2 linked regions of the Ovis aries genome follow. The protein of the gene in region 1 purifies or fractionates together with the protein of each later gene. This does not show direct contact. Links are inferred from orthologs where the notes say so. Each region holds a gene or a part of one and is shown on either strand. Other genes may lie near its edges.

What was found. The genes of interacting proteins can lie anywhere in the genome.
Region 2: the proteins of NCBP3 (region 1) and THOC1 purify together in Homo sapiens (co-immunoprecipitation; 4 studies listed by BioGRID and IntAct, with this or other methods). This does not show direct contact. The link is inferred for Ovis aries from reciprocal best matches to the Homo sapiens genes NCBP3 and THOC1.

The regions. Positions count from the first base shown.
Region 1 is NC_056064.1:24,361,254-24,364,753, reverse strand, and holds part of NCBP3 (nuclear cap-binding protein subunit 3), read left to right. Parts: intron 1-1,089; coding exon 1,090-1,195; intron 1,196-3,500. UniProt on the Homo sapiens protein: Associates with NCBP1/CBP80 to form an alternative cap-binding complex (CBC) which plays a key role in mRNA export. NCBP3 serves as adapter protein linking the capped RNAs (m7GpppG-capped RNA) to NCBP1/CBP80.
Region 2 is NC_056076.1:35,661,604-35,665,768, reverse strand, and holds the start of THOC1 (THO complex subunit 1), read left to right. Parts: upstream 1-1,365; 5' UTR 1,366-1,393; coding exon 1,394-1,447; intron 1,448-1,616; exon of another isoform or gene 1,617-1,812; intron 1,813-2,821; exon of another isoform or gene 2,822-2,885; coding exon of another isoform or gene 2,886-2,915; intron 2,916-3,866; coding exon 3,867-3,940; intron 3,941-4,033; coding exon 4,034-4,094; intron 4,095-4,165. UniProt on the Homo sapiens protein: Component of the THO subcomplex of the TREX complex which is thought to couple mRNA transcription, processing and nuclear export, and which specifically associates with spliced mRNA and not with unspliced pre-mRNA.

The DNA.
Region 1 (3,500 bases):
TAAAACTCTGAATAAATAAAACGGTGTTACTATATTGGATGTATGAAAGCAAAAATAAAAATAAGTATGTCATGCTTATTTTTTTGTGTTTTATCTGGGTCTCAATCTGTCTCAGATTGCTTAAAGGCAAAAAGAAAGAACTGATCATCTTTTTTGACAGGAAAATAGAATGAAGTGAAGGTGTTTTCTTACTGAAACTGAAAAAGCAGTATGCAGTCCTGTTCTTAAGCCTACACAATTTACCATTATTTGAAACAAATATATAGTGGAAAGGGTGGTAGCCAAGAATTGGTACTTTGGTTCTTACCAAAGGAAGGTAAACTAGTTGTTTCCAGTGGGAAGACTTCAGTGGAGAAAATTAACATAACTATTGGGAAATAACAGAAGTGTTGCTGCCTTACCAATCCCCAGAAGCTTTCTATAGTCAGACCTTCAATTAGTGTGGCAAAGTCAATATACAATTAGTGAAGGTTCCAAAGAGCTATCAGAAACCCACAGTTGGACCTGGGTATATTTTAGCTCTTGGGGAAAAAAAAAATTAGGAAGCTGATTATTTGGTTTTTCAGAAAGCATCAGTGCTTCTTTTCACTTCAAGATGAAAACTGGCAATTCTGTGGACACAAGTTTAGAATAGAGGAGAGAGTTTCTTGGCTTCAGTGTTATTTTTAAACACAAAAAAAGCTTTAGGGAGTGGACTGCTCAGGCAGACATAACGTGATAGGTGTGATTACCATGCACACAGACGATGTGAAATGGGGGCGGTGGTGGGGCTTCTAGAAATAGCGCTGAGAAGATCTGCCCCTTACCAGCTGAAGTGCCCCTGGCAAACATTTTAGCTTTTTTGTGCCCCGGTTTCTGCACAGATACATTGATAGGCACTGAGTCGTCCTCGAGATGATGACAGATTGCAGCACTGCTAGCGCCCACTCTGCCAGCCATTGCCAATACCCTGTTCATTGCAACAATGAGGCAAGGCACAGTGTTGTTCATACCTTCTGAGTTGCTTGTCAAGCCAGTGTATCACGTGATGTTTGTGATTTAACTCTCCTCCACATTTCACTTCTTTGGCTTTTTTTCTGCACCTTCTAGGAAGCGATTGAAAAGAAGGAGCAGCGAGCCAAGCGCTTCCATTTTCGATCAGAAGTAAATCTTGCCCAAAGAAATGTAGCCTTGGACCGAGACATGATGAAGAAAGGTACAGGGTGTTTGGGGGGAGTTTTCCGCAGTTTCCTTGCCACGGCCTTGTGCTTCTGGCCTCACCTCACGTGGAACTTGTGAATTCGCCGCTTCTGAGGTGGCCTGTTAGCGATGAGCTGCGTTAGCTGTGTCTCAGTGTTTTGTGTATGTGTGTGTGTGTGTGTATTCATTTGGCTGTGTCAGAACTTCAGGATACTGTCTAAGGAGCCCCAGAGAACCTCATGGAGTTGGTGGCAGATCGGCGATTAGAACTGTGGCTCTGTGGGACTCTTACTCATTTTCTGCTTTATTGTAGAAGTGTTCACTTTTCTTTGCCTTTAAATGTAGCAGGAGTGTATCGCAGTGAGACTCTTTTAGAGGAGTCAGATTGGTGAGGGATACCGTTAATACTTCTGTTGATCCAGGTTTGTGATTTTACTTTATTTTTGTGTTTTATTAAGGTTAAGTATTTTGCTTCCTGAAACTCACCCTGAATTCTTAAATATGATAACCTACCCCAGATTTTGAAGACAGTTTATAAATAGAAGGGAAAATTATTGCTTCCCTTTTCGTGAGTTCACAGCCATGTTTATTATCCCGTAAATGCAAATGATCTGCCTTTGTTGTATTTGCAAATTGGAGACTTGGCGAAGGGCTTTAATAGGCAGCCATCTGAAGGCACGTTAAAGGTCTGTGCTCTGCTGTATGAGTTTCTCTAGGTTTGCCTATTTGATAAAAACATGTTGAATGAATGGAAGAGTAGCTACTATTTGTCGGGAACTTGCTCTCTTATGAGGCGCTGTGTTAGCACATTACATATTTGTTTCGTACTCATTTCTCACAACAACCCCACGAGGAATATATTTTTATCCCTAGTTTACAAAGAAGGAAACAGGCTCAAAGAAATTAAATAAATGCGCAGGTTTACACAACTAGTAAAAGTGGAGTCAGGATTAGAACTCAGATTTATCTGACCCTAAAGCCTTGCTTTTAACTGTTTGCTCTGTTGCCTTACAATGTATGACATGATAGCAGAGACCCAGGCCGCCTCAGTCCTTCCCAGTGGTCAGAGTAGCTCAACTCTGGATGCTACTTCACTGTTTTTATTCTGCATCGTGTTCAATTTGGAAACATGACCTTGCTTGCCTCGCAGGCTAGGTTTCCAGGCATCTGCTCGAGTGGTTGTCTGTTTCAGGAAAAGTCCTGTGAAGGCCAGGGCCAGCTGTGCAGCTGGTCGTTCGTGTGCCCGCACACTGGACCCACACAGACGTCTGAGGCCTCTCCCACAGCCCCACCTTGGACGCACTGTGGTTTCACACCGCGCCTGTTTACTTCTAGTCCTGGGCGCGTTCCATGTGGCATCTTGCCTCTGATCTCGTTCATGCCTGTCACCCTGCTGATTCGTCTTTCCTTGTCCCACACTTTGTCTGGTTCAGATGTCACGCCCTCTGCAGCATCCCTAATTACCCTCGTCAGTCTCTCTTCCCACCTGTGCTGGGGCTCTTCTGAGCCCGGAGCCCTCCTGGGATCCAGTCTCAGTTCCTTAGTGAATGTGGGGGAGTTAGTGAACCTTTTTAGGTTTCATTTTCTTTGTTCATAAAATGGGAATATGATACCCTCCTGAATAGGACCTCTTCTTTTGGGGTTAAATTTTAATTAAAAAAAAAATGCTTTTTGAAAAACAGTCTTGATCTCATGATTCTGAAGATACTCATAAAAGACCGTAGATCTCCCTAAACTATCAGTGGCTCATTACAACCTGTTTTTGGCCCAGAAGGCAGCATGGCTTCAGACTGTGTTCTTGAACTCCAGATAACCCTGCTGCCTTTCACAGATCGATTTAGAGTAGGGGGTAGGTTTGGATAAATCTCAGAGTTACTATTTTTTCATCTCCCCTGGTAATTCTGTTGTACAGTCGGGGTTAACTGTACCCTAAGAGCGTGGATTCTGAAGCCTGACTGTCTATATTCAAATCTTGACTTGTCACCTTCTAACTGTGATCTTAGGCAAGTTATTTAGCCTCTAAGAACCTCAGTATCTTCATCTGGAAAGTCAGGTTAACTTAGTTCTTACAGGGTTGTTGGGAGGTTCTAACAAAATGTTAGGATTCCTAGAGTGGTGCCTGGCACATAGTAAATGTTAGTTATTATTATTATCTGGCATTCTCCATCTTCCAGACAGCCATTTAAGTGGCCCAGCCTCTTGTGAGAATGGGGACATTGGAATAAACATCTCGATTCCTGCAGCCACAGTAAGGTACCGGGTTATTTCTTCTTATTAACATCAACAGTGATGAAATATACCATTCTATAAGTGCTCCCCAC
Region 2 (4,165 bases), on another chromosome or scaffold:
CTGAAACTCCAATACTTTGGCCACCTCATGCGAAGAGTTGACTCATTGAAAAAGACCCTGATGCTGGGAGGGATTGGAGGCAGGAGGAAAAGGCGACAACAGAGGATGAGATGGCTGGATGGCATCACCAACTCCATGGACATGAGTTTGGGTAAACTCCAGGAGCTGGTGATGGACAGGGAGGCCTGGCTGCTGGGATTCATAGGGTTGCAAAGAGTTGGACACAACTGAGCGAATGAACCGAATTGAACAATCATCCATAATATGATAACAATCCGATTACACCAGCTCTTAAATCAGTTAATACCAGTTGATCTGAGCAATTTGGCAATGTACGTTGTACAATCAAACCTGAACGATTCTATTGATTCTGAAAAAACCTGCAACGCTCCAGGTAGCCATCACTGTTCACAATTCCCACTTAGGGACAAGATTATGCAAAGTTATATTTTTGTTAGCATTCTGTACTCTCGCTGGATATCCACGAAGGGAACCAGGTAAAGCGCGCCAGGCTTTCACTTAGGAACACGTGCAGGTGGGTAAGAGCTGGTAGCAAGTGTTTGGGTCAGTGCTTCTTCCCCCACCGCATAATGCCAACGGAAAGACGACTGCCCCTTGGCTTCTCATTGGCCAAGTGAATGGAGACGAGGGAGGAAACCGGACAAAAGACTAGGTCTTGCAACAGGTGCCTTAACCCTGGGACTTGGCGCCACCGACTATCCAATCAGCGGCGAGTACTGAGTTCCTCCACAATCTTCCTCATTCAGTAGTGCGCTCTATCTGCCAGCAAAATGAACGAATCCCCACACATTACGTTGCTACACAAGCCACGCTTGCTTTCACGACTTCATTTACGCTCCTCAACAGCCCAGGGATACAAGCATTATTTTTATTTCTCAGAAGATGGAACCCCACCTGAGCTACAGGGCCCGCGACCTGCAAGGCAGATGCGCGAACCCGGAGCTGGGACCACTCCTGCGGGAAGAAGGACTTTGATCCGACGGCCACTGCCGTCACCTCCCCAGCCCGGAGCTCCCGGATAAGCTGCCTGACTTGGATTCTCAGACAGCGACTACCTTCCCTTGCGGCCCATCGAGCCGTAACCAGCCGCCATTCACCCGACTTCCCAAACCAGGAAAACCCCCGCGAGGCCGCGAGTCTGCAGTCACCCCACAGGTTGTTACCACGAACGCGGATCGGGCGTTGAGTGGCTAACCCTAGCTTCCAACACCCTCCCGACCTCCGTCACCAGGGAAGCTCCCAAACGCCACCGGACCCGCCCCTGCGCCCACAAGCCGCTCTAGCCGCGCACGGAGCCGGCACTCTCGTTGCTCCCGGCCTGACGTCATCCGCGGGCGCCGCGACGAAGTGGCGGGCACGCGCAGCCAAGAAGATGTCTCCGACGCCGCCGCTCTTCAGTTTGCCCGAAGCGCGGACGCGGTTTACGGTGAGTTGCGGGCTGGTGGGCGCGGCCCCGGACCAACGCTATTTGTTGCTCTCCTCTCCCTGAAATTACTTGAATTTTGCACTGGGGTTAAGCGGGGACAGAGGCGTTGCGCCGCGGCGACGGGTTCCCGGCCCTGTCGTGGGCTGGGGAGGCGGCAAAGGCGCTTTACCTGCCTCTTCCAAGAGTCCTCTGCGGTCCGCCGCCTCCTTTCCGCTGGCGAGTCCCGGAACCCTCCGCCCTCCGTGGAGGGCTCACCCGCAGACTACCTCCTTTTGGTTCCTGCTTCTCTGCGGTGCTCGCTTAGCCAGGCGGGTGTTTCCAGAACTGGCAGGGGGCTTCTCTAGAGGGAAGGCGAGAATGGTTTTAGTCCAGAGAACAGGCTCCCGCCCCGCCTTCTAACTGCCAGGTGGCTCTTCTCGCCGCTCATTCATCACCCTTTAACCCTTTGTATCTCACTCTTAGAGATCGATGAGGACGGTCCTAAGTGGGGCGAGGCAAACTGATCAGCTTGGGAAGGGTTGTCAACTGTCATTTTATTCTTCCGCCTTGGCGAACAGTAATTTAAGCATTTGGGGAAACACTTTACAGAGCGTTTTGATCTTAGCTTATTTAACTCAGAATAGCTCTGTGAAGTAGGGTGTTTAATTATCCACAGTAGATGAGATAGAAACTGAGACAGCCCGCCCCCCAGCCCCCGCTTATGTTGTTGTTCAGTCGCTAAGTCGTGTCCGACCCTTTGCAACCTCATGGACTGCAGCATGCCAGTCTTCCTGTCCTTCACCATGTCCCGGAGATTGCTCAAATTCATGTCCATTGAGTCGGTGATGCCACCCAACCATCTCATCCTCTGTCACCCCCTTCTCTTGCCTTCAGTCTTTCCCAGCATCAGGGTCTTTTCCAGTGAGTTGGCTTTTCGCATCAGGTGGCCAAAGTTTGGAGCTTCAGCATCAGTCCTTTCAAAGAATATTTAGGGTTGATTTCCTTTAGGGTTGACGGCTTTGATCTCCTTGCAGTCCAAGGGGCTCTCAGGAGTCTTCTCCAGCACCATAGTTTGAAAACATAAAAGTTAAATTATTTGCTTCACTGTTTTCTCTGACTTCAGACTCAGTAATCTTTTTATGTTGCCCATCAGCAAATGAAGAACCCTGTTCTAAGTCGTTTGACTGTGTTCATCCCTAGTTTTCTGTAATTCTGTGAGGAGAAACTGTTAGGTGTGTCCAAGGTCATATCAGTCCTGGAAGGGACCATTTGATAGGAGATCATTTAGCCCGGTGCTTCTTAAGATTGAGCATGGGTTGGGATCACCTGGGGATCTTGTTAAATGAGATTCTGGTTCCGTAGGAATGGGGCCTGAGATTCTGCATTTCTAACAAGTTCTCAGGTGATGCCACTGCTGCTGATGGTAATAAGGATCTACAACAACCCAGATATGTAACTGATGAGGAAAATGAAGCACAGAGACAAAGGGGTATGTTCTAGATTACGAACTTCCTAACTGCCAGTGAAGGAGGCAATGGAGATGTGGGTTCATTGCCTGGGTGGGGAAGATCCCCTGGAAAAGGGAATGGCAACCTGCTCCAGTATTCTTGCCAGGAGAATCCCATGGACAGAGGAGCCTGGCGGGGTACAGTCCATGGGGTCACGAAAAGTCGGACACCACTGAGCTTGCATGCACCAAGATTACACAGCCTACTCACAGAGTCAGGAATGGACCGTTTCTAGTATAAATGTAACTTCTGGGAGGTAACAAGAGGATTTTCCAAGTGTATGTGAATTTTCACAGAGTGAATGACTTGGCAGTATTTTTCTTTTTCAGTTACGACTACTTTGTGACAGTCAGCAGGTTTAGTACTTTAAGACATCAGTGTTTACTTGATGTCAGGGACTGTGCCGTGCAAGCTACCTAGAGGAGGTGGGACTTCTGTTGAGTCTTGAAGAATGGATAGGAATTTGCATGAGCGTGTGGGAAGAACAATGTGCATGGATACACTAGAGTGAACTTGATAGAAAATGATGGGAAAAAGGCTACAGCCTAGTGGAGAGTATATGTTTGGGGTTACTGGGAAGTAAGGTTGGATAGATTGAGTGGGATAACATTATTAAGGACCTTTAGAGGAAGCTGTGAAACCAAACCTATAAATAAGGGGCCACTTAAGAGATATTTTTTAAAGCAGAATGAATAGCATATTTAAAGGAAAGGTAGGCGGGAAAACCTGGAATGAGAAAACTGAGCTTGGAAGCTCTCAACAAGCTTCAAGTGATGAGAAAGTAGCATTTGAATGAGAATTACTGCTGAACTGACAGGTAATTTTTCTCAGGTATAAACATTTTTTAGTTAGACATACAAATAATGAGTGGTATGTTTCTCAGTGAACAAAAATTCCTTCAACTTATGTGCTTTTTTTTTTTTTTCTTCTAGAAATCTACGAGAGAGGCCCTGAACAGCAAAAATATCAAGCCCTTGTTGAATACCTTTAGCCAGTTACCTGGAAGGTAAGGTATTAATATCCATGACATGGGCTCATTGAAATCTTTATACTTACCCTGAGCTGTTTTAAAAATGCAGGTGTTTTTTGTTTTTAATAGTGAAAATGAAAAAAAATGTACCCTTGACCAGGCTTTTAGAGGTGTTCTAGAAGAAGAAATTGTAAGTATGTTTTTCCTTTATTTATTGTTAAAATTTTGCTGGCAGATTAGTAAATATTGTTTTTTAATTTG